Linked DNA regions of Mytilus edulis. The protein of the gene in region 2 purifies or fractionates together with the protein of the main gene of each other region. This does not show direct contact. Links are inferred from orthologs where the notes say so. Each region holds a gene or a part of one and is shown on either strand. Other genes may lie near its edges.

The links. Proteins that work in one complex are often made in the same cells at the same time.
Region 1: the proteins of AP-2 complex subunit mu (region 2) and ralBP1-associated Eps domain-containing protein 1-like purify together in Homo sapiens (affinity purification with mass spectrometry; 3 studies listed by BioGRID and IntAct, counting the BioPlex papers as one, with this or other methods). This does not show direct contact. The link is inferred for Mytilus edulis from reciprocal best matches to the Homo sapiens genes AP2M1 and REPS1.
Region 3: the proteins of AP-2 complex subunit mu (region 2) and AP-1 complex subunit gamma-1-like purify together in Homo sapiens (affinity purification with mass spectrometry; 3 studies listed by BioGRID and IntAct, counting the BioPlex papers as one, with this or other methods). This does not show direct contact. The link is inferred for Mytilus edulis from reciprocal best matches to the Homo sapiens genes AP2M1 and AP1G1.

The regions. Positions count from the first base shown.
Region 1 is NC_092353.1:79,518,238-79,526,468, forward strand, and holds the start of ralBP1-associated Eps domain-containing protein 1-like, read right to left. Parts: upstream 3,433-8,231; 5' UTR 3,295-3,432; coding exon 3,145-3,294; intron 1-3,144. Other genes in the region: histone-binding protein RBBP4, read left to right, coding at 3,776-3,839, 6,905-7,052, 7,847-7,897. UniProt on the Homo sapiens protein: May coordinate the cellular actions of activated EGF receptors and Ral-GTPases.
Region 2 is NC_092356.1:16,485,401-16,493,177, reverse strand, and holds the start of AP-2 complex subunit mu, read right to left. Parts: upstream 3,478-7,777; 5' UTR 3,376-3,477; intron 1,912-3,375; 5' UTR 1,893-1,911; coding exon 1,819-1,892; intron 582-1,818; coding exon 316-581; intron 1-315.
Region 3 is NC_092348.1:64,385,009-64,392,741, reverse strand, and holds the start of AP-1 complex subunit gamma-1-like, read right to left. Parts: upstream 3,433-7,733; 5' UTR 3,155-3,432; intron 1,156-3,154; exon of another isoform or gene 804-1,155; coding exon of another isoform or gene 793-803; intron 688-792; exon of another isoform or gene 489-687; intron 1-488. Other genes in the region: sperm-specific protein PHI-2B-like, read left to right, coding at 3,533-4,165. UniProt on the Homo sapiens protein: Subunit of clathrin-associated adaptor protein complex 1 that plays a role in protein sorting in the late-Golgi/trans-Golgi network (TGN) and/or endosomes.

The sequences.
Region 1 (8,231 bases), on a different chromosome or scaffold from region 2:
CATTACCAACAGGAAGCAAAAACGGGATCCTATAGCAACATCCCTTACCATGGGACAACACGAAATGCCATCAGTGAGAAGTGCCACACACTTGGGAATCATCAGAACCACGTCATTAAAAGAAAACATGACTGCTAATGTGGAGGAAAATATAAAAAAAGCGAGGAGAAGCGCATATAGCCTCCTGGGAGGAGGGTTTCACGGCTATAATGGATTAGATGTAGAGACAATGGTACATCTGTACAAAATATATGTATCCCCAGTACTTCTCTATGGCCTGGAGCTAATACTACCTACAACAAGCTCGTTGGCACTAATCGAAAATTTCCAAAAAAAGCTACTCAAGCAAATTCTTTCATTACCAACTTGCGTAGCAGATATAACTATCAACATCTTAACCGGAATATTGCCAGTAGAAGCACAAATACATATCCGAGCACTTGGACTCTTCAACAACATCTGTAACCAGCATGAAGAAAGTATGGAAAAATCGCTAGCTAGACGACAACTAACCGTAAAAAACAACCAAAGTGCTAGTTGGTTCGTAGCCATAAAACATATGCTCAGGAAGTACAATCTGCAAGAAGCTATATGGTACATGGACCATCCTGTCAAAAAATCCTTGTGGACCTCAAACATCAAGAGAACAGTGCATAATTACTGGAGCAAGTCAATAGTGCAACTACTGCCACTGTATAAAGGACTAGACCATCTTACAACGGGAAACCTTGACAAAGGTAAAATTAATCCTCTATTCAGAATTAACTGCCACTCAGCCATAGATACGGCAAGACTACCAGTTAAACTAAAACTGCTTACTGGATCATATATTCTACAAAGTAAGCGAATAAAAATGTATAAGGATGAAACCGATCCGAAGTGCCTGCTATGCTCAAAGGATGATGAAACTGTGACTCATTTCATATTACACTGCATACAACTCCGAAATATCAGGAACAAGATACTTCTAGAAACAGTTGAGGTACTTAACAGTCTTGGAATTAAATTTAATGAACTATTGGACAGTGAAAAGTTACAAATAATTCTGGACATCACACCGTTAGCAACATCAAGGAAACTCTCTCCAGCCAGTGTAGCAAAAGTAGAACGCCTTACTAGACGCTTGATATACCAGTTACATATAGCCCGCTATAAAATAGTATGTGGATGATAATTTTAATAATTATGACTCTAAAAAAAAAAAAAGGAAAAGATAATCGCTTCCACAGTAAAAAGAAGAAACTAATCAATTTTACAATAACATAACGAACCTATTTTAGCATATATATATACATACTAAAGTTATGCTAGTGATGACATATTTTTAAAGTGTGCGATCTTAAAGTGAAAATATTTTAGATTATATATAGAAAACAGAATCTTAAACAATACATGAAGGACCAGGGCTCACGCTACCAGGCGACTTGGGCGAAGAAGTCGCCTTCCCGACTGTCACTTCGCTTTCCCCGACCCCCAAAAGCGAAAACAAGTCGCCCTGTTCTTGACGATAGTCGCTTTCAGTCGCTTCCGTCATCGGACATAATTTTTTTACCAAGTTGATGAAACATCAATTTTTTACTGATAATTAAAGAAATTCAGACATAAACGATTCATTATCTTTAGAAAAGAGGTTGAAGCATTGTCTTCGCAGTGTGTAGCAGGTTATTTGATAAAAATACAACTTTTTATCACTTCGTGCATTTTCGCAAGTTCCGGTGCTTGTTACTCGAAAACGTACATCAACCTAAATTTCGGCGGCAAAATAAGTTTGTTACTTCATTTAAACGTGATAAAAGTTGCCTCCAGTAAATGTTTAATCCATTTATTGCATTAAAACCGTCATCTTCCTTTCCAAATAACTTGTCAAACATCGTTTATTTTTTTGTAAATTTTCTTGCATTCGTCCGCCATTGACCGATTTCTAAACTACGGATCTGAACCGGACCAGCTATGACCGAAATCCGTACTTTTACAATAATTACTACGGAGGCACGGATGGAACAGTTAACAGAAGAATATTGATTCCAAAGGGGAAAATTACGCATTCCACACGCATTAAGAGACTTTTGGTTACATCTAATTGATTAGTGTATATAATTCCCTATATTTTTTATGGATTGTTTCAAACTATTGATTAAAGTTGCTTAACTCTGAGACTATTATACTAATATCAATATATTATGGCCCAGCTTAATAACTTTTATATTTTTTTATGAGAAACACTGAATTTCATACACAAGATAATTTTTAATTAAATTGTAATTGATATATTATAATTTCTTTTTTTAAAATAATTTTTTTTTTTTAGGGCTAGATATTTAGTTGGTAGTTTCTCACAAGAACCTTAGTAAAACTTAAACAACTTTTAATTTCAAATGTTACTTTAATTGTAATTTTTTACTCATCATGCTCATATGAATTGAACAACATAAAAAGGACATTATTTACATATGGCCCTTTATACTATTGTAAAATCCAAACATTGTAGCGCACCGCGCGAATGAGCACTTCTCTTTCAAATCTCACCACTTCTCCATATCAGTTTCAAAAAGAGAAGTCACTTCTCCCTATAATTCTGAAGTAGTGTGTGCCCTGAAGGACCTTTTAGAAGAAATGAATATAACTTTTAGATAATTACTTTGTAATACAACTTTTAATTCATGAGGAAGAGGCATTCATCATTCTTTTATCTTCTTACCGTTTTTACCGCAATTATGGAATAGTGCTGTTGATATTTTTAAAGATCGATACTAATTTTTAAAGAATACATCTATCGGTTAGGGGTATAAATGTGATACCAGTGTATACATAAAGAAAGAGAGGAATTTTAAAGTATGTGACATGACTTTTAATCAACACAGAAACATTGTAAATACAGGATAACGGAATTGTAATATAATTGTGTGTGGATAGGATCTCACTGTGTATATAGTCTCAGCACTTCAAAGCATTTGGTGGAGGCATCACTGTATATTAGAAAGCCACAAGTTATACATACTAGCGTATGGTTCCTCTACAAAGGGGGTTAAAGATACAGAGGTAAGGTAAGGTTTGTCACACAATCAGGCTAAAGCAAGTTTTTAGTTCTTAGCAACATCTTTATCTAAATGTATCAGCTAACATTTTATACTATTGTATATTTACTTGCAACAGTGCATCCTGTCCTAAACCAGATGACAGAAATAATTCAGATGCTTTTATCCCAGTTATCCTGCCAGTCCCATCAACATCACATAATTGAAACAACTCCCCATAATTTCGTTGTTCTTGCTGGCTTAGTTTGAGCCCTTCCATGCCAGAATAAACACATATATGTACTATGTCAAAATGTTAACAGTGTCAGTTGTCTACAATTAAGTAGATTTTGTGAAACAGACTTAGTCAGGAAGTTTTCAACGATTATCCACCATGTTGGAAATTTATTACAAGTGTGATACACACTTCACAAAATTAGAAATGAAATAATATTAATAGAATTTTTTTAAATAATGCAAAGTTTAGCATATTATATTCAGAGTACAAAACGATCATTTCGGAATTAATAGAAAATATAATTAAAAAATAATCTGTGGCGCATCAATTAAATATATTTCGATATTGTCTTTATTTACTTGGATTTCGAAATAAGCTATCTATATAATCATATTGAAATAAAGTTAAAATAATTACTTATCATATTACAATAGTTATCAGTAAAAACTGCTAGCTTCTTTAATTTATTTTTTTTACTATAGAAAATGAATCGCAGTAAATTATTAAAAATTTGGCGCCATTGATGCGCATGAGTCTTTGTGCCGAAAGATCAACAGAAAGAAAGAAAATGACAGAAAAAGACGGTGGTAAACATTGTCTGTCAGAAGCCTTAAATGAGCTATTTTTATTATACCTTTCATAAGCTGTTTACTTATTTCTGCTATTAAGTGAGACTGCAACTACCCTTGACACAAGGAAACAAACAAAAAAGGGGGAAATGACCGGCCGGTCTACAAAACATTAACAACCAATGGGAGGTGACCTTAAAGTCTCTGACAAGAGCTCTCGACAGTCATTTGTTTAGCTATAGAACTGTAGCTATCTGGACCTACCTTATATTCTTATAATTTTGGATGGAATGAATGTCCAGTGAATAGTATTGCACAATGTCAATGGCATGCATTCAAGAAATTGTTTGACAAATTGTGGTTCCCAGACTCCAAGCAATATTTGCACACATTTAAGCAGGCATTTTAATGTTGCAGAAAAGAATACAGAAAAGTTCTTTAACTTGAAAAGTGGGGGGGGGGGGGGTCATTATATTTGGATCAACTTTTGTAAAAGAGGGATCCCATTATTTTTCATAATACAGAAGATATAAGATAAGATATAAGTCCAGGAATAATTCAAAATTCTTGTTTATGTTTATTCTTGATAAAACTTTGAAGGCACTAAAATTTATATTTCTGTTATTTTCATTTTCATTTTAAAAATTTTGTTCCAGAATTTTTTTGTTTGTTAATAAATCAAATGATTATTAATTGGCAGTATTCTGTGCTTTGGCTCTTATCAAAACGAAATACAAATGAATTGATAACAGAAATTTATATATATCAGTGATGTCACTAAGTTTTGAAGAAGCAGGCTGAATTTCTAAAATAAGCGCAAGTACATGCGGACGGCAAAGCCGTTCGCGTCGACGAGCTTGCTCGTCGCTACTACGGCGGGGGGTCTGGGGCCCGCTCAAGGGCCCCAGGATTTTTTTTTAAAATGGTGCAAAATCCTGCATTCTGGGGGTGTCCTAGACCCTTATTCAGACCTCTGAAAACATCATTTTTTACTGAAGATAATGTAAATGATTAACTAAAATTAGCAACATGATGGGTAAATTTTCTGTACATGTGATCACATCATTGATCATCTTGATGGACCAATATACATTTTTGTGCATTTTCCTGCAGGTTGACTGCTAGTAAATATTTTTGAACTGAAAGAATCCAAAAATCTTAGTTTGAATAGAAACATATTGTCTCTGGTTTGAATTATCACTTGAATAATTTAGTTTTAAATGAAAATTGTAATTGTGACATTGAGAACATTATAAATGTTTTAATTTTATATTAAAAAAGTGTTGGTTTTGTTTTTACAAAATTAAAAACAATATTCACTGACTAGTAGGCAGCTGGAGCTTCGATTTCAAAGTTAAAACTGTTACAGAGGTGCTATATTTTATAAAATCGTATGCTATCCCAAGGACGTATAACTAACATAATATACGTCCTTGGCTATCCCCAAAAAGATTTGAAAATTTAGACTAAAATTCCTGCATTCTGAGCATACCTGAGAGTGATTTAGATGCTTGGAAAAATGTTAATTTTGTCTTATTTTTGTTGTTGACTTCAATCACATTGATTTTTTTTTTAAATGAGAATCCGTAGTCCTGGCAAGGCTAATCTATATTATATTTTTTTCTGGGAAGGTGTCTTTTGTAAGACAACTAAGGAAGTCTGTTCTTGAATATATGTAAATAATACACAGGCAAGTGCCTGTGAAATAATAGGTGAAATATTATAATTTTATTTCAAAAATAATCGAATTTATTAAATATCTTGATCGATTTATTTGCGTACGTACTTAGTGACAAATGACCCCCTTTTATCTCATATAAGACTTGTACACGTATTTCAAACATGTTGTCAAGCTATGTCGTTTTATTTTCTCTTATTTGTTAACTGTTCAGTAATCAGTAAACTAAAATCCTTTTGAACTATAAAAGATATTTTTAAAAATTATTTGTGGTCGACAATATTCTACTTTCGTTATTGACCTTCATTCTCTGGACACCACGTGGTCGTGGGCTTTGAAATGTGAACTTCAAAAAGTGCTGTTTTCCAGATTCTTGACAACATTATATATATTATACTTTCTTTTATTTGACTGATATATTAATTTCCATAACATGCTATTGTCATCTTTGGCTTATTCCTTCTCTTGAGCCTCTTGAAGCAAAAACCAAACAGGGTCATAATGTCCATCGGAACGTCTCTCTTTTTATCCTTGCAAACATTACAATACTTACCGACTTTAAATAGACGACCAATCAGCGGACTGCATTTACGTGAACTATATTTAGTCAAAGGTAAACACTGATTTACATCCTTGTTTATCGGACTTTAATCGTGGAAGCTGATGCATTGAACAATTATTTTTTAATATTAACCTGATTATCTTTTTTATCTTATTAATTTTTTTTACTCATGCAAAAATAGCCGGCGGGAAAAGCACAATAACCGGCGAAAATCGCCGGCTGCCGGCTTCTAACGACATCACTGTATATACAGGGGTAAAAAATTAACTTTTTGCATCCAGGACTGAACCTGCCAAAATATGAAAGAAACTGAGGAGTACTTGTATACATCTGAGGCCAAATAAAAATATAAGTGTGGTTCCAGTTACATCCTTTTAAAAAATAGGTTGGCAATTTTTTTTTTGGAAATTGATTCCGATATTATATAAGCCAAAACCGGAAGTTCGCCATTTTACATGTTCTAGTTGAAAAATAAACAGTAATGTTACTTTTTTAGTTAATTTTGATTCATTCTATTCTGAATTTGATGAATTTTAGCCAAAGTGGATACTTCTGATGGAAATGCAGATGATAGAAGTCTTTGAATTTAGTTATTTAATTTCAAAATCCTCAAAATTTGATCGCTGGGTTCAAACTAAGGACAGTCGGGTAACTGGAATCACACATGTATTTTTATTAGGCTTGAGGTAGCAAACCAATGGCACTAAATAGAATAATTAAGAGTAGAGGAAATAATACAATTTTTGATATAAGATGTACATTTTTGTAAAAGGCAATCACCTAAACAAATCATTTTTGATCTACTTTTTGAGTGTCTACAAACAAAAATACTTTTTATTGTAGAAGGATTTGATGATGCTGTAGAAGAAAGAGTTATCAATGAAGAATATAAAATATGGAAGAAAAACACCCCTTTTTTGTATGATTTGGTAATGACACATGCTTTAGAATGGCCCAGTCTTACAGCACAATGGTTACCTGATGTCACAAGGTAAGATTTTCATTATATTCAAGGGACCTTGGTGTTTGATTAGTCTTAAGTAGTCTATATATAGTGATGAACAGTCTGTCAATTATGGGTTTGCGAGTTTGAACCCTGCTTGTTGTGAGGGACATTTGACTTGGATCTTGTTATGATACAAAGATCATTAACATGTCAATTCTGAGGCTATGTGTAAAAACTGCTCTCTGCGACTGTGAGGCTCTTTAGACTCTGATCTTAATTTATAATGTATGCTTGCTTTTCTGCTGATACATTTGGTTATATTGTGATCTCCAGCTTCCTCTGTCTATAAAAACTGATTAAGTCAATGGAGCCAAATGTGACACTTTTATTAAAACACCAACACAAATTTATTATTAGAACTGTTACTATGTTGATGCACACTGTCTCAATCCTTTTGGAGTTCATTCAAGTAAATTCCCTTAATTTTTATTAGTTCCCTTGATATGTCTCTTTTAAATTGATTTGCCAGATTTGAACACAAATAATAAACAAGTGTAGCCTTAGCGTTTCCCTCAGTTTTTGTTTGTTACCCTGATTTTGTTTTTTGTCCATCCATTTACGAGTTATGAGCAGCAGTATACTACTGTTGCCTTTACTAATAATAACTACGTATGATACTTGTGAAAGAAATCAGAATATGAATCAGAAGTGTTATTAGTACACATGTGAGAACATATTTCTTTTGTTTGTCTGGTTGATTTTTATAGATATACCTTTACTACATGTATATGTACATTTGTAGCCATGGAAATTGAAGATATTTTTCCTCTTTTTTTCAGGCCAGAAGGAAAAGATTATTCTCTTCACAGATTAATTTTAGGAACACACACGTAAGTATGCTGGTGTAAATATTAAATGGTGCCATGAGAATTGTCCAGAAAGGACACTCTTCTTAGAATCTTTTCAATTCATGATTATGTCACAACTTTATATTGGACGATAACTTTGATCTTAAAGACAGAGTGGTGTAACTGCACAACATATAGAAAATTGTGAAAATTAGTTACAATGTAGGCAAATCTTATCAGATTAGCACAATGAGAAAAAAAAGAAATACACATACAAATAAGACTGAGAAGTGATCTTAGAATACTTGCTGTTTATAGTGTAAGGTTATTCGCCATGTTTAAGGTCCAAATACAACTAATAAGAAAATCAGATTTC
Region 2 (7,777 bases):
CTGACAAACCCTAAAACAGTTTGGCACAGTCTGCACTGGGAAACCTGAAAAAATGTCAGATTAAGCAGGGTGTCATAATACTCAGGTTTTTTTCTGCAAGGATTGGCATATTTTGGGACCATGAAAATGTCTCAGTTAAAGCAGGATGTCGTAATACTCAGGTTTTTTTCTTCAAGGATAGGCATATTTTGGGACCATGAAAATGTCTCGGTTGAAGCAGGATGTTGGATTAAGCAGGATTCACTGTACTTTGTTTAAATTTGGAGCTATATTTTGTTCAGCCTCATGAATTTGTCAACTGCTAGTAAAACTCACCGTCCAAAATTTCATAAATTAGAACAAAGTTATTTTTTATATTTTCTTCTGTTATTTTGCCAAAATAAGACTGCATGACTTCCACCATCTTGAGAAGAAACTCAAACACCATAGAGGCATTGACATTCTGTTTGGTTACTGCGGCTAACCAGATGTTGGACCTTTTGATGTGGAAAAAACTGGTTCTGGCAATATTGGTTACAGGTGAACGGACTTGTTGTCTGGCATGAATGACATTGACCCTAAATGCATCAACTGCATTACGTCTGAAATATAAGGCAGCAATACTTTTTGTAAATGATTGCAGAATACATGTAGCACAACTCTACCACTAATTAATGTGTTGTTCACAAATAATTAACATATCAAAATAAAAGCAATCTTTGAGTGGATACTGAAAACAAAGACAAAGTTTAATTTCTTAAGAAAATGATGAAATGTTCATACAACAAAATTGTTGCCCTGAAAAAGGAAAATTACATATACTTTTTAGCCACTGCTCAATAATGAAATATTTGACATGCATGATATTAAACATAAGTTCAGGTGTAGATTGGGGAAGGGGGGGTAATTTATGTCTTAGAATTGGGAGCGACATTTTGCAAAGCATCCAGTTTTGTTTCATTGTTGAGCTATTCAACAAAGAAAATAATATATTATTGTGTCATAAAGTCTGTCTGACTTAAGGTAGCACAATGCAAAGATTTTTTACTTCCAATCTCCAACCTTTAATATGCTGTAACTTTCTTATGACTGCATGTAAATTAATAAAAGAGGTATATATAGATAAATAAAAGATTAATCTTTTAAATGAATGCAATATTTTTGTTCTGCAATCATTATGTTACAATTATTATGTAATTAACGGCAAAATCTTGGTCAGTTCACTTGTATGAATTTAGCTCTGTCATCTCTATAACTACACAAGAAATTTTAACGTTATCTTAATCAACACAGTAGGAGCTACAAAAGGGTGTCTCAAATTATGGCTATTGTATTCTATTCTCTCATAAATCTGTAATGAGTGTAAATATCCTTACCACATAAAAGTAGAGATTGTTTGATAAGGTGTAAAATTTGATCTCTACATTCTATCCAAAATCTGAGACACTCTTTTGTAGACAATGGCTATAGGAACAACATAGTATAAAATCAACCCTCTCTGGGTATCCATGAAGAAGCTAATTTCAATTGAAAGTGTAAATTTCTTGTAAAATTTTGTAGACACAGTTAAAATTATAATTGATTACATAATTGTTGTACAATACTAACATTGCATTAATTTGAAAGAGTAATAATCTGTTAGCTATCCATAAATACCAATTTAATAAATTTTCAAGCATTATAAAGAAAGTTACAGCATTTTAAAACTGGGGCATTGGAGGTATAAAATCTTTGTACTGTGCTACCTTAATTCAGTTTGTGAAACAACATGAAAGAATGAACACTAGAATAACCTTTTTCACAATCATTATTTATAAAACTTTAATTTGATAAGTTTACCCAATATCATCTCTGTATACCCTGGATATGAGGACCTCTCCTTTGTGGTTGTAAATAAATAGTCCACCAATCATTTCTTTATTTTTCTGTTACCTGAAAACCAAAAATACATCATGTATAGAAAAACCTTGATTGTATGTATAAGTTTTACCTGATATTTAGTTCAGTGTACACTACCAATGGATAAATAATTTAAGAAAACATTTATATATCAGTTTCAAAGGGTATACTGATCTTTACTGTATATTTTGTAAAGTAAAAAACAACTTTTTTACAGGTTCAAACATGTATAACCCATAAAAGATAAACATAATATTAATAATAAAGTAATGTGAGAAATAACTTTGATCAATAAATGAGTAACCGTGTTACCATGTACCACATCAAGAAACAAAGTACATGTAATACCATGAGACAAGTTGAGTCAAATATGATGATAGGATGATTGAACTCATTATCATGATCATAGATACTAGGATTGAAATTTTGTATTTGCACCTGACAAACGTTTCATCAACGGTATACAAAAGACTCATCAGTGAAGCTCAAATAAAAAAAAAGCTTTAAAGGCCAAATAAATTACGAAGTTGAAGAGCATTGACTGGTAGACTAAAACAGATGCCTCATAAATTGTATCAAGTTCTTGACTTTTTTAGTTACTATAATGCAGAGCTTTCAATTATTTGTTTAAGAACACAATTTGTCTCATTGGAAATTAAAGAAGCCACAGCAAGATTATTTATTTTGTTCAATCATGTTAATAGCAACACAACGATAAAGAAAGGTTTATATGTGCATATAAACTTTCAAAACAATTAGCTGAGCAAATCATAACAAAAACATTTACATTTGATCAACAATCATCTATCCACTCATTTGTTTTTGCTTACATATTATTCTGGACCAAATAACATTGTTTAATCAAATTGGGATAAAGAAGCTGGTGTGAACAGTCAACAGGGCCAACATATCAAGGGCTAGGGAGCATCACGTCAAAGACTTGGAGAACAGTCAACAGGGCCAACATATCAAGGGCTAGGGAGCATCACGTCAAAGACTTGGAGAACAAACTGGAAACATCAACAGGGCCAACATATCAAGGGCTAGGGAGCATCACGTCAAAGACTTGGAGAACAAACTGGAAACATCAACTGGGCGAATCAACCAGAGCTATTATAATAATAAATAAGCTTTATTTAGAGTCGGCAAGGTATACAAACATAGACAAACATAAGCTCTAATGAGATTTTAACCGACATAAATAATTGAATAGAATGAGTGTAAAAAAAACACAGATATAAGATTTAATTTTGACCTATACCAGTTATTCAGCAGACCAAATCTGTGTTAATTTGTTTGATTGTGGGTTATATCAAAATATTTAGTGATTAAACCCAAGAAAAGTGACGCGATGTCCCTGATGATACGCCCACTTGATGATTTGTACTGCTTCCAGTTATTCTATCACAGGAATTTCAATCAAAGAAGTGAATGTAATAGAAATTATTAGTAGTTGTTCATTAACTTTAAAGGAAAACATATATGTATCTTTTTTACCGGCACAAATTATAAATAATCATTTCTAATGAGCAAGAAAGAAAATCGAAGTGTGGAAAGATCACTTCCGGTTTCAGAAAAGTCAATAATATTAGAACCAAATCAGTAGTAACTTTAATTTCCGTATTTGCAGTATTAAATTTAAATCCTTATATTGATTCCTAAGCACCACAAGAATCCTTATAAGGAAAGGTATATTGCAGGTTCTTACAAGTGTTTCACTAAACCCCTTTCTAAATTTCTTACTGCCATACTCACTGCAGTCAAAGTAGGACTTCAGAAATATTCCGAAACGACATATTCAAGAAGTGGTGTTAATCAGATGTGGATATTGAAAAAATCAAAAGAGTTATTGGTGAATTTACAATCTCATTTATTAAAACAGTGTACCAACATTAAAACCTTTGATTTTTCAACTCTTTATACCACTATTCCACATACTAAAAACTTAAAGCTCGACTGAAAGACCTCGTCAACCTATGTTTCTTTAACAAAAAGGCTGGCACTAGACGTTTTTAAATATCATCTAGTTTTGGGCAGAAATTCAGCTTACTTTGTGAAAAATCATACAGGGTCAAGCAAAAAATACACCGAAGAGGATATCACTGTCATGCTGGACTTTTAAATTGACAACATATTTGTTGAATTTGGAGGTTTAGTCTTCCAACAGACTATTGAAATCCCAGTGGGTACCAATTGCGCTCCTCTACTTGCAGATTTGTTTTTGTATTCCTATGAAGCAGAATTTATCCAAGGGCTTGTACAGAAAGGAGAAAAGAAGTTAGCCCAGTCTTTTAATTTCACCTTTCGGTATATTGATGATGTACTGTCTGTTAATGATAATAGATTCAGTGATCACTTACATTTAATATATCCAAGTGAACTTGAAATTAAAGATACTACCGACACAGATAAATCTGCTTCATATTTAGACCTTTTTCTCGAAATGACTACTGATGGTAGGTTGAATACCAAAATTTATGACAAACGCGATGATTTTAATTTTCCTATAGTCAACTTTCCATTTCTGTGTAGCAACATCCCAGCGGCACCAGCATATGGAGTATATGTGTCTCAATTGATACGTTACTCTAGAGCTAGTTCAAAGTACGTTGATTTTGTTGAACGAGGAATACTGCTTTCTCAAAAGTTGCTAAGACAGGGCTATGAATCAATCAAATTAAGGTCATCACTCAAGAAATTTTACGGTCGTCATCTTGATCTGATTGGCAATTATGAAAAAAGTGTGTTAGAAATCATATCTGATATTCTTCCTCAGTCATAATAACCTTCCATTATTATCGACTGACTGAACAAAGAAATAACACGACGGATGCCGTATACGGTGCAGGAAATGCTTACCCTTCCGGAGCACCTGATTTCACTCCCGGTTTTCATGGTTTTTAGTGGAGTTCGTGTTGTTTTTTATTTCTTATTTATAACTATTGATGTAAATGTCCTTTGGTTTTGTGAGTCTTTGTTTACTCCTTGGTTTTGTTTGTTATTGTCTTTATCGTCCGCATTTTCTGAGTCGGACTACATTTTCAAGGATTTGTATAGTACTACTATAATTCATAGTTTTTGAAAATAAATGCTATCTTATTCTCATTGTCTTAAAAAAAAAAAGAAAGAAGTTCATACAATGCAAAAAGATTCAAAGGCGACCTGGTTTCCTCAAATGACCTTATGACCATTGTAAGATTTGAAATATTCAAATTTTAAATATAAGTTTATTATTTATTAAATGTTTAACTAACATATTCATTTATTCTTGTAAGAATAAGAAACACAGTTTTTACTATTTATTTATGAAAGCGCTAATGTAACGTTGCGCTCTTTTGAACAACACATTTTCCCGTTTCTGTTTTATGACGTTACGCCTTTGACGTGCGCTTCGTCGTCTAGACTTTATTTTGATAACATAAGGATGCACATTATTTTATTAGACAGATCAAAGTTGAGAATCGATTATTAGCGACCATATGATTTTTATAAAAGAATAAAAGATAGATACATGGTGCAACTTAACTCGCATACTCATTTCTTCGCCCTAAGTTAAACTTTATGTGATTCGTACAATTCTCAACTCTGGAGAGGAGGAAATTCTAAAATTGTGCCGAATTTTGACTATTTGTTAAAAAGAAAATGGCTACCGATAGACGGAAAGAAGACTGTCTGGACTTCAGTGATGTAAAACGGACTCGTAGTACGAATTTAGCGCAGCTTACTAAATTGTACAAAGAATTGGAGAAGAATTTAATTTCATATGAGAACGTGGAACATGCAAAACAATTATATTCAAAGTTATGTGAAAGGTTTGAACAATTTAAGTTAGCACACTTACAGTGTTTAGATTTGTGTACACAATCAGAAGTTATAGAAAATTTGGAAGTGAACTATGAACGTTGTCATGAGAACTTTGTAGAATTCCGGGATAGATTTTCTCAGTATATTGCGAGTGAAAAATCGCATGAAGAGGAAATACCCGAAGAAAGTGATACAGTTTCAATTGATAGCAGTTTGAGTTCACGATCTTCAGTTTCATCACAATCTAGATTTCGCAGTGCCAAAGCTAAGCGGCTAATCGCAGAACTTAAACTCAGGAAATTATCAGAACAGCATGAACTAGAGCGTGCACAAATAGAAATTAAATTTAGACAACAGGTATTTAATCAACTATCCGAGATGGAAGAGGCCAATATCGAAGAATCAGTGTGGCAAGAAGCAGTGGAAGAAGACACAGATAATACCAGTGGAATCGTGAACATTCGGAACATTTCGCAAACAGTCTCGCAAACATTACAGAGCTCTGTTCCTGCGAGTGAAAAGTGTATTAATATGAACTCTCTTTCCGGACAAACTGCAGCAACTGATAAACCAAAGATGAACATTAATAACAGTACACAGGGAATCAGTGCTCAGTCTGGATTTTCGGATGTAAGTGTTTCCAGCATAGATTCAGCTTTTCAACGCCTAGCATCTACACTTCACGAAGGGTTTAATTTGCCAAAACCAGAATTATTAACTTTTAATGGAACTCCGTTAGACTATGGAACTCCGTTAGACTATAGTAAGTTTATAAGGAACTTTGAGACAAACATTGAAGGTAGAATAAGTGATAATAGTTTGAGACTGAGTTATTTAATTCAGTACTGTAGAGGTGAAGCCAAGTGTTGTATAGAAGATTGTGTATTATTAGATTCTGATGAGGGTTACAAACGTGCTAGGGCAATATTGTACTCCCGATACGGTAGGCCACATGTAATTGCTAGATCATTTATTGAAAAATTAGTGTACGGCGCTCAGATTAAAGCGTCAGATATTGAAGGTTTATCTAAATTGGCATTAGAAATGCAAAAATGTGAAATCACATTGTCTCAGTTAGGTTTTAATTCAGATATTGATAATTCTAAAAATTTAAGGTGTATTGTTAAACGCTTTCCAATGCATATGAGAACAAGATGGGTCGACATTGCTCATTCAATTAGTGAGTCTGGTAGAGAACCCCGTTTTTCTGACTTAGCTAAATTTGTAGACGAAAAATCACGCATTGCTAGTTCTATGTATGGGTACGATCTTTGTAGAGAAAACAATCAGAACAAGACTGATAAAAGGGTTTTTACAAGTAACCATCATAATAATGATACAGTTAATAGTAAGGTTACTACGTTAAGTACTCAAAGTTTAAATAACACAGCTAAATATGAGCACAAATGTAAATGTTGTACAGGTACTTGTGTAGATTTTACAGCTTGTAGCAAATTCAAGTCAATGAGTTTAGATGATAGGTATAAATTAGTACGCATGTTAAAATTGTGTTATAATTGTTTAAAAGGGAAGCATTTTGCTAACAATTGTAGAAAACCAAAGGCATGCACTGTATCTGACTGTAATGTTAAGCATAATATTTTATTGCATAGTTGGTCTAAGCCCGGTTTTGATCATGCAGCTACTCAGCCTTCAGTTAATTGCGCAGCTACTAAAGGTTCTATGATTAAGAACTGTTTAGGAATTATTCCTGTCCTCGTTAAGGGTCGGAACGGTAACTCTTGCAAAACATTTGCCTTGCTAGATGACGGAGCAGATAAAACTTTATGTGATGAACGATTACTTCAGAAATTAAATATAGCCAGCAAGCCGGTCACTTTCGAGATGTCTACTGTTAGCTCTTCTGGTAGTACAATTCACGGTCAAGAAGTTGACTTACAAGTAAAAGCTATTGACGGAAATGATAACGTGTCGTTAAAAAAGGTCTGGTCAGTTAAGAAGCTTCCAATTTCTGCTCGATCTGCCGCAGAAAATGTAGATATAAGAAAATTGCCGTATTTGGCCGATATACAGATACCCTCTACTGATTTAACCGAGGTCATGTTGTTAATTGGTACAGATTCACCTAACGCTC
Region 3 (7,733 bases), on a different chromosome or scaffold from region 2:
TCAGTTTGGGGCGGGTTTTTTTTTAAAGCGGGGCGAGTTGGTGAAAAAGAAGAGGGATTAGGTGTGGAGCGATTTGCCAGTGGAGCGATTTGTCCTGCTTCCGTTTAGAATTCAAACTTCAAAGGGTTGCTCAGGAGTCAGGAAATGACATAATTTGTAATTTCGCCAATAAAAATTTGAAATGTATGCGAGTTGAGAAGTACTGTCTACAAGGACTTCTGTGATTTTTATTGGAGAACGTCCTGCGAGCAACCCAAAGACAAAATAATTTGAAGGAGACAATGCCAATGGAATAATTTCAACACCCAAGACAGTCATAACTGTCGCTAGGACCATTATCACTCAACTATATCAATGTAAGCAAAATTATGGGTGGGCTTAATAAATGGATGGAACATTTCATGAAAAGGTTATAATTAAGTTCACCGACCGGTTGCGCTAGGTAGGAGGGTCAAAAATAATTAATCAACAGGTAGAAATCTAATTACCGCATCATTATGACAGTTAGTTAAGTATCTGTCTGTACTGGTATTTGTTTATCTATCAAGTATACGGACTGCTTGGTAAATATCCCAATCTAGAAAGAATCAGTCTTTCAGACCGGAAATTGTCAAGGAAAAAAGGTATCTTGTCATCTAAATCTATCAATATGGCTGTTGACCGAAGAACAAACTCCGCGTAAATAAAGTAGATCGGTATGTCATTGATGGTTTTGGTAATAAATTGTCATGTTAGTACATATTGTACATGCATAAATAAGATATATGTGGAATTAAAAAAATGAATATTTACTTTCTGTCCATGTAAATTATAATTATATATTCCGGATGTAACAGTATACAAACACCGGAAGAAAAATAGTGCCAATGTGGCAAACGCTACGTCATTTTACAGTGACACCTGTTCAGTTATTATCTACCCTTGATTTTCCCGCCGTTTTATTGCCGTATAATTGACATTATGTCTTTGACCTTTTGAATTATTTTATGTTTTTCTTTTATCATTTATGCTTGTATAGTGAATATTTCCCTGCTTTTCCAAAACTTAATTCTTGTCATCTCACTATAGTATCAACCACACCTGACATTAGTCTACTAATTGTAAAACAGTTTCAGACCCGGTTCAGAAACCACACATTATTTAAGTTTTAAAGACGGTGAGTAATGGTTAAAAATAAATCATTGAACATCCATTACTGATCACACGATCATTACTTTCTGATATTATTGACATTATTCATGTAAAAGTAATAAAATGTACATACATTTATATAGCCTATAAAAAAAAATCGGGGTACCGTATTGTGCTTTTGTTATTCAGTTCTTAATGTCATTTTTGTTATATTTTTATGTTTTTATTATGAAACAAAGCCTGATTCTGAGATGTCATTGAACACACAGTTAAGTGTTGTGGTTAAGAAATGCTTACAAGATCATGATGTTTGCTTCAAATGCCATAACTGGAGAAAAAAATGTGGTATATGAGTGCCACTGAATGAGACAACTCTCCTTCCAAGTCAGCCACAATTTGTAAACGTAGTCTGATTCTCAAAATATAATATTTCTGTTGATTTTGACATACATCTAAATATTTAGTTCCGAATCTTGCAGAAAAAGATTATTTCAAAAATTCATTTGAACAAAAACTAGACAAAAATTGCATTTCTTTAGAGGAAGCCTCGGAGCTACCATTTAATTTGTATACGGGGGGAGGGGGCAAGATGACAGCCCAAGATAAGTGTTTTCATATAGTTTATTCATTGTTTATAGCCTCAAGATAAAGTTGTCAGCCATCATACATACAGTTGGTGAAAAGTACAACTGCCATATATTATTAAGCAAATATTGAAATAAACTACATTGTCAACTGTCTCAGAACATGCTAGTAGCAGAAGGAGATGGCTTTCTGGTGGGTAGCTGTATTCATATTTTTGGTCAAGTCATTATGGTAAACAAAGTCAGCTTTGCATGAAGTGCTGACTTGCACCAGGCAGAATAGAATTTGGCTGGATACTTGGTCTTCTTTGCTACTGGGGTATTTGGTGATAACATACGTTTCGGCATTTTGTCATATTATAAGATTATAAAGTTGTCCAAGACAAACATTCTTACAAAAAAAATGTATATATAGGTATTACATTGGCTTGGATGGAAAATAAGGCAAATATATATATATCATATTTGAGTTGATTTCATATGTGGGGGCATACATGTCTTTGAGATTCAGTAACTGTTCCATGTTTACAACAACATCAAAGTCGTTGTTTATACAAATAAAATAATTCTTAATCCAGTGTCTGTAAAAGACCTTTGGTTTAAATTTGTAGCACCCCTGATTAAGGGCTACTTTATTAATAGTTTTTTATTTATCATTTTCTTCGGTGAATTTCTCTCTTGGCCCTTTTGGTCTTTTAATAGACTTCAATGAATCTTTAACTGTTGGGGACACATAGCCTTCGATTTTATTTTTCATCTTTGTTACTAAAGTATTTGCAGAACCGTAGCTCTAATGTCCTAATGATATTTTTTTGACAGTTCGAGGACCATAGAGCTAGCCTACAGATTATATATGGTATGCAAACTGTAAAAAAATATCATAAAGATACCGTAGCTCTAAGCCAGACTAAGGTCCTAATGATATTTTTTTGACAGTTCGAGGACCATAGAGCTAGCCTACAGATTATATATGGTATGCAAACTGTAAAAAAATATCATAAAGATAGCTACCATCAAAGACAAAGTACAGTATGATTTTGGTCTCTTCTGAAGTATATCATAAAGATAGCTACCATCAAAGACAAAGTACAGTATGATTTTGGTCTCTTCTGAAGTGCAGCCGCAGGCCTGTTGTCGCACACATACATATAGAAAAGGCCAGTTTATGGCCTATTTTTATTTTAAAACTGGATGTGTTGGCCTCTTTTGTTTCAAGCCAAGATGCACTTTTTTTATTTGACGGAGAACCTCCTTTTGTTCTTGATTTCCTTTATGCCGGTTTCTGAAGGCATCATGGCGGACATTTTGAATGATCTTGTAACCTCAGATTTGAAAGAGTCTAATAGTAAAATGCCGTTATATATTCATTAAGATACTGACGCAATGCAAATGAAATGCATCTTGGAAATCTATTAAATATCAAAAAAACATTTTCCTACCTTCAAGTGTCGGATTTACTGCAGTTTGAGCACGACTTTCATCGAACATTCATTTTGTTTACCAACAATCTTAAGTTCAACCTTTGTTTTTTAAGACGAAAGGCGTTTAAACTTTTCATTCTTTGTTTTGGAATACAAGTTTTGATCCTACCAATGGTTTATACGTCCTTAAATTCAGGATCCTGTGGTAAACACTAGAATTTTTACTATTTAAAAGTAACTAGGAAGCACATATTCTCTAGTCGGCCATGTTTCCATGTATTTTCCGCGTCAGTTTTCCTGGTGCTCTCTATCACGTCCGCGTTATTAACTTAAACGAAGCACCTGCAGAAATTTTATCATTCTTGTTTTATCAAGTAGTCAGCGAAAGTAACAAAGATGCCAAGCAGCCCAAGAAAACGTTCACGATCCAGGTCTAGGAGCAGGAGCAATTCTCCAAAGAGAAGTCCAGCAAAGAAGGCCAGAAAGACCCCAAGAAAGCCAAGAGCAAAAGGTGGAGTGAAGAAGCCAACAACTTTATCCTTGATTGTTGCTTCCATCCAAGCCATGAAGAATAAGAAGGGATCATCTGTCCAAGCCATCAGAAAGTACATCCTGGCCAACAACAAAGGGGTTAGTGCAGCTCGTCTTGGAACTGCCATGAAACTAGCCTTTGCAAAGGGATTGAAATCGGGTGTTTTAGTCAGACCAAAGTCATCCGCTGGTGCATCTGGTGCAACTGGTAGCTTCCGTGTTGGTAAAGCACCTGCTTCACCCAAGAAAAGGGCAAAGAAAGCAAAGTCACCAAAGAAGAAAGCAAAGAAACCCAAAAACAAGTCAAACAACGCCAAGGCTAAAAAGTCACCCAGAAAGAAGACTGCAGTTAAAAAGTCATCGAAGTCCAAGGCAAAAACATCAAAAAAGCCGAAATCACCCAAAAAGAAGGCCGCCAAGAAACCTACAAAGAAGAGAGTAAAGAAATCACCCAAAAAGAAGGCCGCCAGGAAGTCTCCAAAGAAGTCCAAGAAGTAGACCCGAATCAACAGATTAACGACAAAACCAAAGGCCCTTTTAAGGGCCAACCAATTATTTCAAAAAGAGTCTTTATTTGTTGTATCAGTAAACTTCTTCTCAAATCCGAAGACCTTTGCCATCTTCTACTAGTTTCTTCCAAATTTCAACTTTTTATCTTTTATTTTATTATACTTCAGATTTCAAACTAGTTCCTGTAAATCGCATAGAATGAAATTCAAAACAGTGTGGCTGTGGCCATTGATTGACACATTAAATTCATCCATTGACTGGGACAATTTACGTGAACGTTTGTCTGTAACGACCACTGTTCACGACGTACCTACGATAGACATTTAAACTGTGGGGTCACCAAAGGTTTCTTAACGCCTTTAATTATAAAATAATTCAAAAAATTAATCAGGAATAACTTTTATGTTTTGATTTATATAATTGATATAAATCAAAACATCTTGTTATTTCTGATTAGTTTTTCGAATTACTTTATTAAGGTGTTGAGAACCTTTGGTGACCCCATAGTTTAGGTGTCTTTAAAAAGTACATAGTGAGCAGTAGTTGCTACATACAAACGTTCACTAAATTGTCCCAGTCAATGGATGAATTTTATGTGTCAATCAATGGCCACAGCCACACAGTTTTGAATTTCATTCTATAACCGGCATAGTGAAAATTTCAATAAACAAATCCATAACAATTATTCCTTATCTGCGCAGACATTGATGAAAGGATATTCGAAAATCTTGAGAAAAACTCCCCTTTTTACTAGTATCTGTTGAGTTTCGAGAGGCTATTTATTAGGGTCAGAAAGTTATTGAAAATTTTTGATATCTATTAGGAGTAATACTGTTAGTGTACGAAAAACGTAAAATGCGTAGCATATATGACATCAGATAACAAATTATTAAAATTTAAAATGAAATGACTTCACATGAAATTTTTATTTTGTTAAAAATGACCTCGTATTCATTTTTTTTTAATAATTATGTTCTTTTTTTTACGAAATATTGAGAATTTGAAACATCTGCATATATGAACTAAACAATGCGCACTTCAAAATTAAACACTTGCAAAATGACTTGGACGTATTCAAACTGGCATTGAACTGGCATTGATTTAAAAAAATAAACCACAAAATGTTGGAAATAATTGTGCATGTAAATACAGTTTATCTTTGAATCTTCTGAAAGGTCCATCGGCAGAGCCAGCAACCGGTATTACAACCCTTGTAATGTTTTGCCATTCTTAAATATATAATATATATATGCACTACAAATTGCCTTTTTGCAAGATGAAGAAAATAAACACAATCAGTTACTAGTAATATTTTTTAGCTTTTCACGAGAATTTATCATGTCACGGTACATTTACGTCACATAAGTTCTTTTCAATTTTTAATAACAAGTTAAAAGTTGTACCAGATGGTCACGCTAAGCTGGATTTGTAACATGTAAACCTGACATATATTTCACGCTTATTATTACTGATAAAACTGGTAGGAAAAAAATCATGAGGAAAAATTTGGAAGGTTGACTTCATTTTTGTTATGGATTTTTGTTTAAAATGCCTACACGGGATCTTGATGGGGCTCTTCCTTTTTTTAATTTGTAACTTTTTAGTCCATTTTCTTTATTTATTTTGAGCTTTATTCTCTGTAACAGTGTTCTATACATATCTTGACCTCCAGACCTCTTATAGATGTTCAGTTTTACGATCTATAGTGGATAGTTGTATCATTTGCAAAAAAAAAATTTATCAGTCTTGGTTTAAATAAAAGCTGACCATAATCAACAGATTCCTTTTGATATTGAGGGTAATTATATATGACAAAATCAACCAGATGTCAAATTTGTTCAAATGCAGTACAGGTAAAAAGCTGCCGGTCAGAGTAACCTACTCTTGTTAAAAGAGGGAGAAAATATAAATGGAGCAACCAAGGACCATTCTCAATTTTACAATTGGTCGAAAATAAACACTTGATCAAAAAAAAAAACATGACGAAAAGATAAAAAAAAAAAATCCGCACTACCATTTTCTGTGTTCAATGGACCGTGAAAATTGGGGAAAATCTCTAATTTAGCATTAAAATTAGAAAGATCATATCATAGGTAACATGTGTACTAAGTTTCAAGTTGATTGGACTTCAACTTCATGAAAAACTACCTCGACCAAAAACTTTAACATGAAGCGGGACAGACGGACGGACGCACAGACCAGAAAACATAATGCCCATAAATGGGACATAAAAATGTCCACACAACACTACACAACAATACTTACTTCACAATAAAACGGAAGTGAACTTTACTAGGTAGTCCGCGGAAAGGTTAGTAGTTCCACTAGTGACACCCTCTGTTCAAATACGCCGATGACATCACCAAATCAACCAACTCTATGCATATAAATATTCTAATAAAAATAGTTCGACTAAAGCCAGTCCCAATGTCCACTTTCGTCAAATACATGCATTTGGTGTAAATCTGTTTTGCCCACTTTTATCTTTATTGTAATGTTATTCGCCACTCTTAGTTTTCTTAAGGGACTTGGACAATTTCAATGACCTATGGATGAACAATATGACACACGGTCACGTTGACCCACTTTACTACGAAATCTGTGACACCTCTTTTAAGTCATTTTATAGTATCTGCATGGTACCTGAACTAGTCCTATACATTAAATATGAAAGTTGGAGGCATTAACTAGTAAGTTACCTCTATCTTCTTTACAAGTTAAATGAATGCGATTAAGTGTCTGATATTTAGCTGTAGATAAGTCAATGTGACCTACTTTTGGTGATACGCAGTAATAATGTTTTTGGTGGGGTTCTTGTTGCTTAGTCTTTAGTTTTCTATGTTGTGTCTTCTGTACTATTGTCACGTACCGGGGGTACGCAACTGCGTTACTCTGGGTTTCGTACCAGAGTCGTTTCTCTGGATACAGTCAAGGCTCAAGAATTGGTAGCGTTATTTTATCAACTGAGTATTCGGATTTTCTTTATATTAATGCTGGGCTTCCAAATTAAGAAGTCTTTGGGTAATAGACGATAAATGCCAAGGATGATAGTGAATATCTTGATATACTTTTGATTAGCCAATGCTTTCTAAAAGCAACGTATTATTAATATACTGAGCCAGTGCTTTACTTGTAGCCACTGCTTTATATCTACTTTATTTGGGCCAGTGCGTGTGTTGGACTGTTTGGTCACTTCTTTGCTCTTATTCAATGCTTCTCTCTGCAGCCACTGCTTCTTCAGCAGCTATACTTATTTAATCACTTGGCTCCTTACTCAGGGCCACTGGAAATACTTTATTTTGTATACCGCCAATGCTTCTTTCTGAAGCCACTGCTTCTTCAGCAGCAATTACTGAATTAATCAATTGGCTCCTTATTCAGGACCACTGCTTATAATTCTTATTCAGAACTATAGATTAATCTCACCTTTCTTCTTCTCTTGTATCCAACTGCTCGGCTTGAATTCTAAACCCAGAACAATGTGAACTGTGAAAACCTTGGTATATATAGTAAATTGTAGACTCGTCCATACAATAGACTATTCCAAAAACGACTT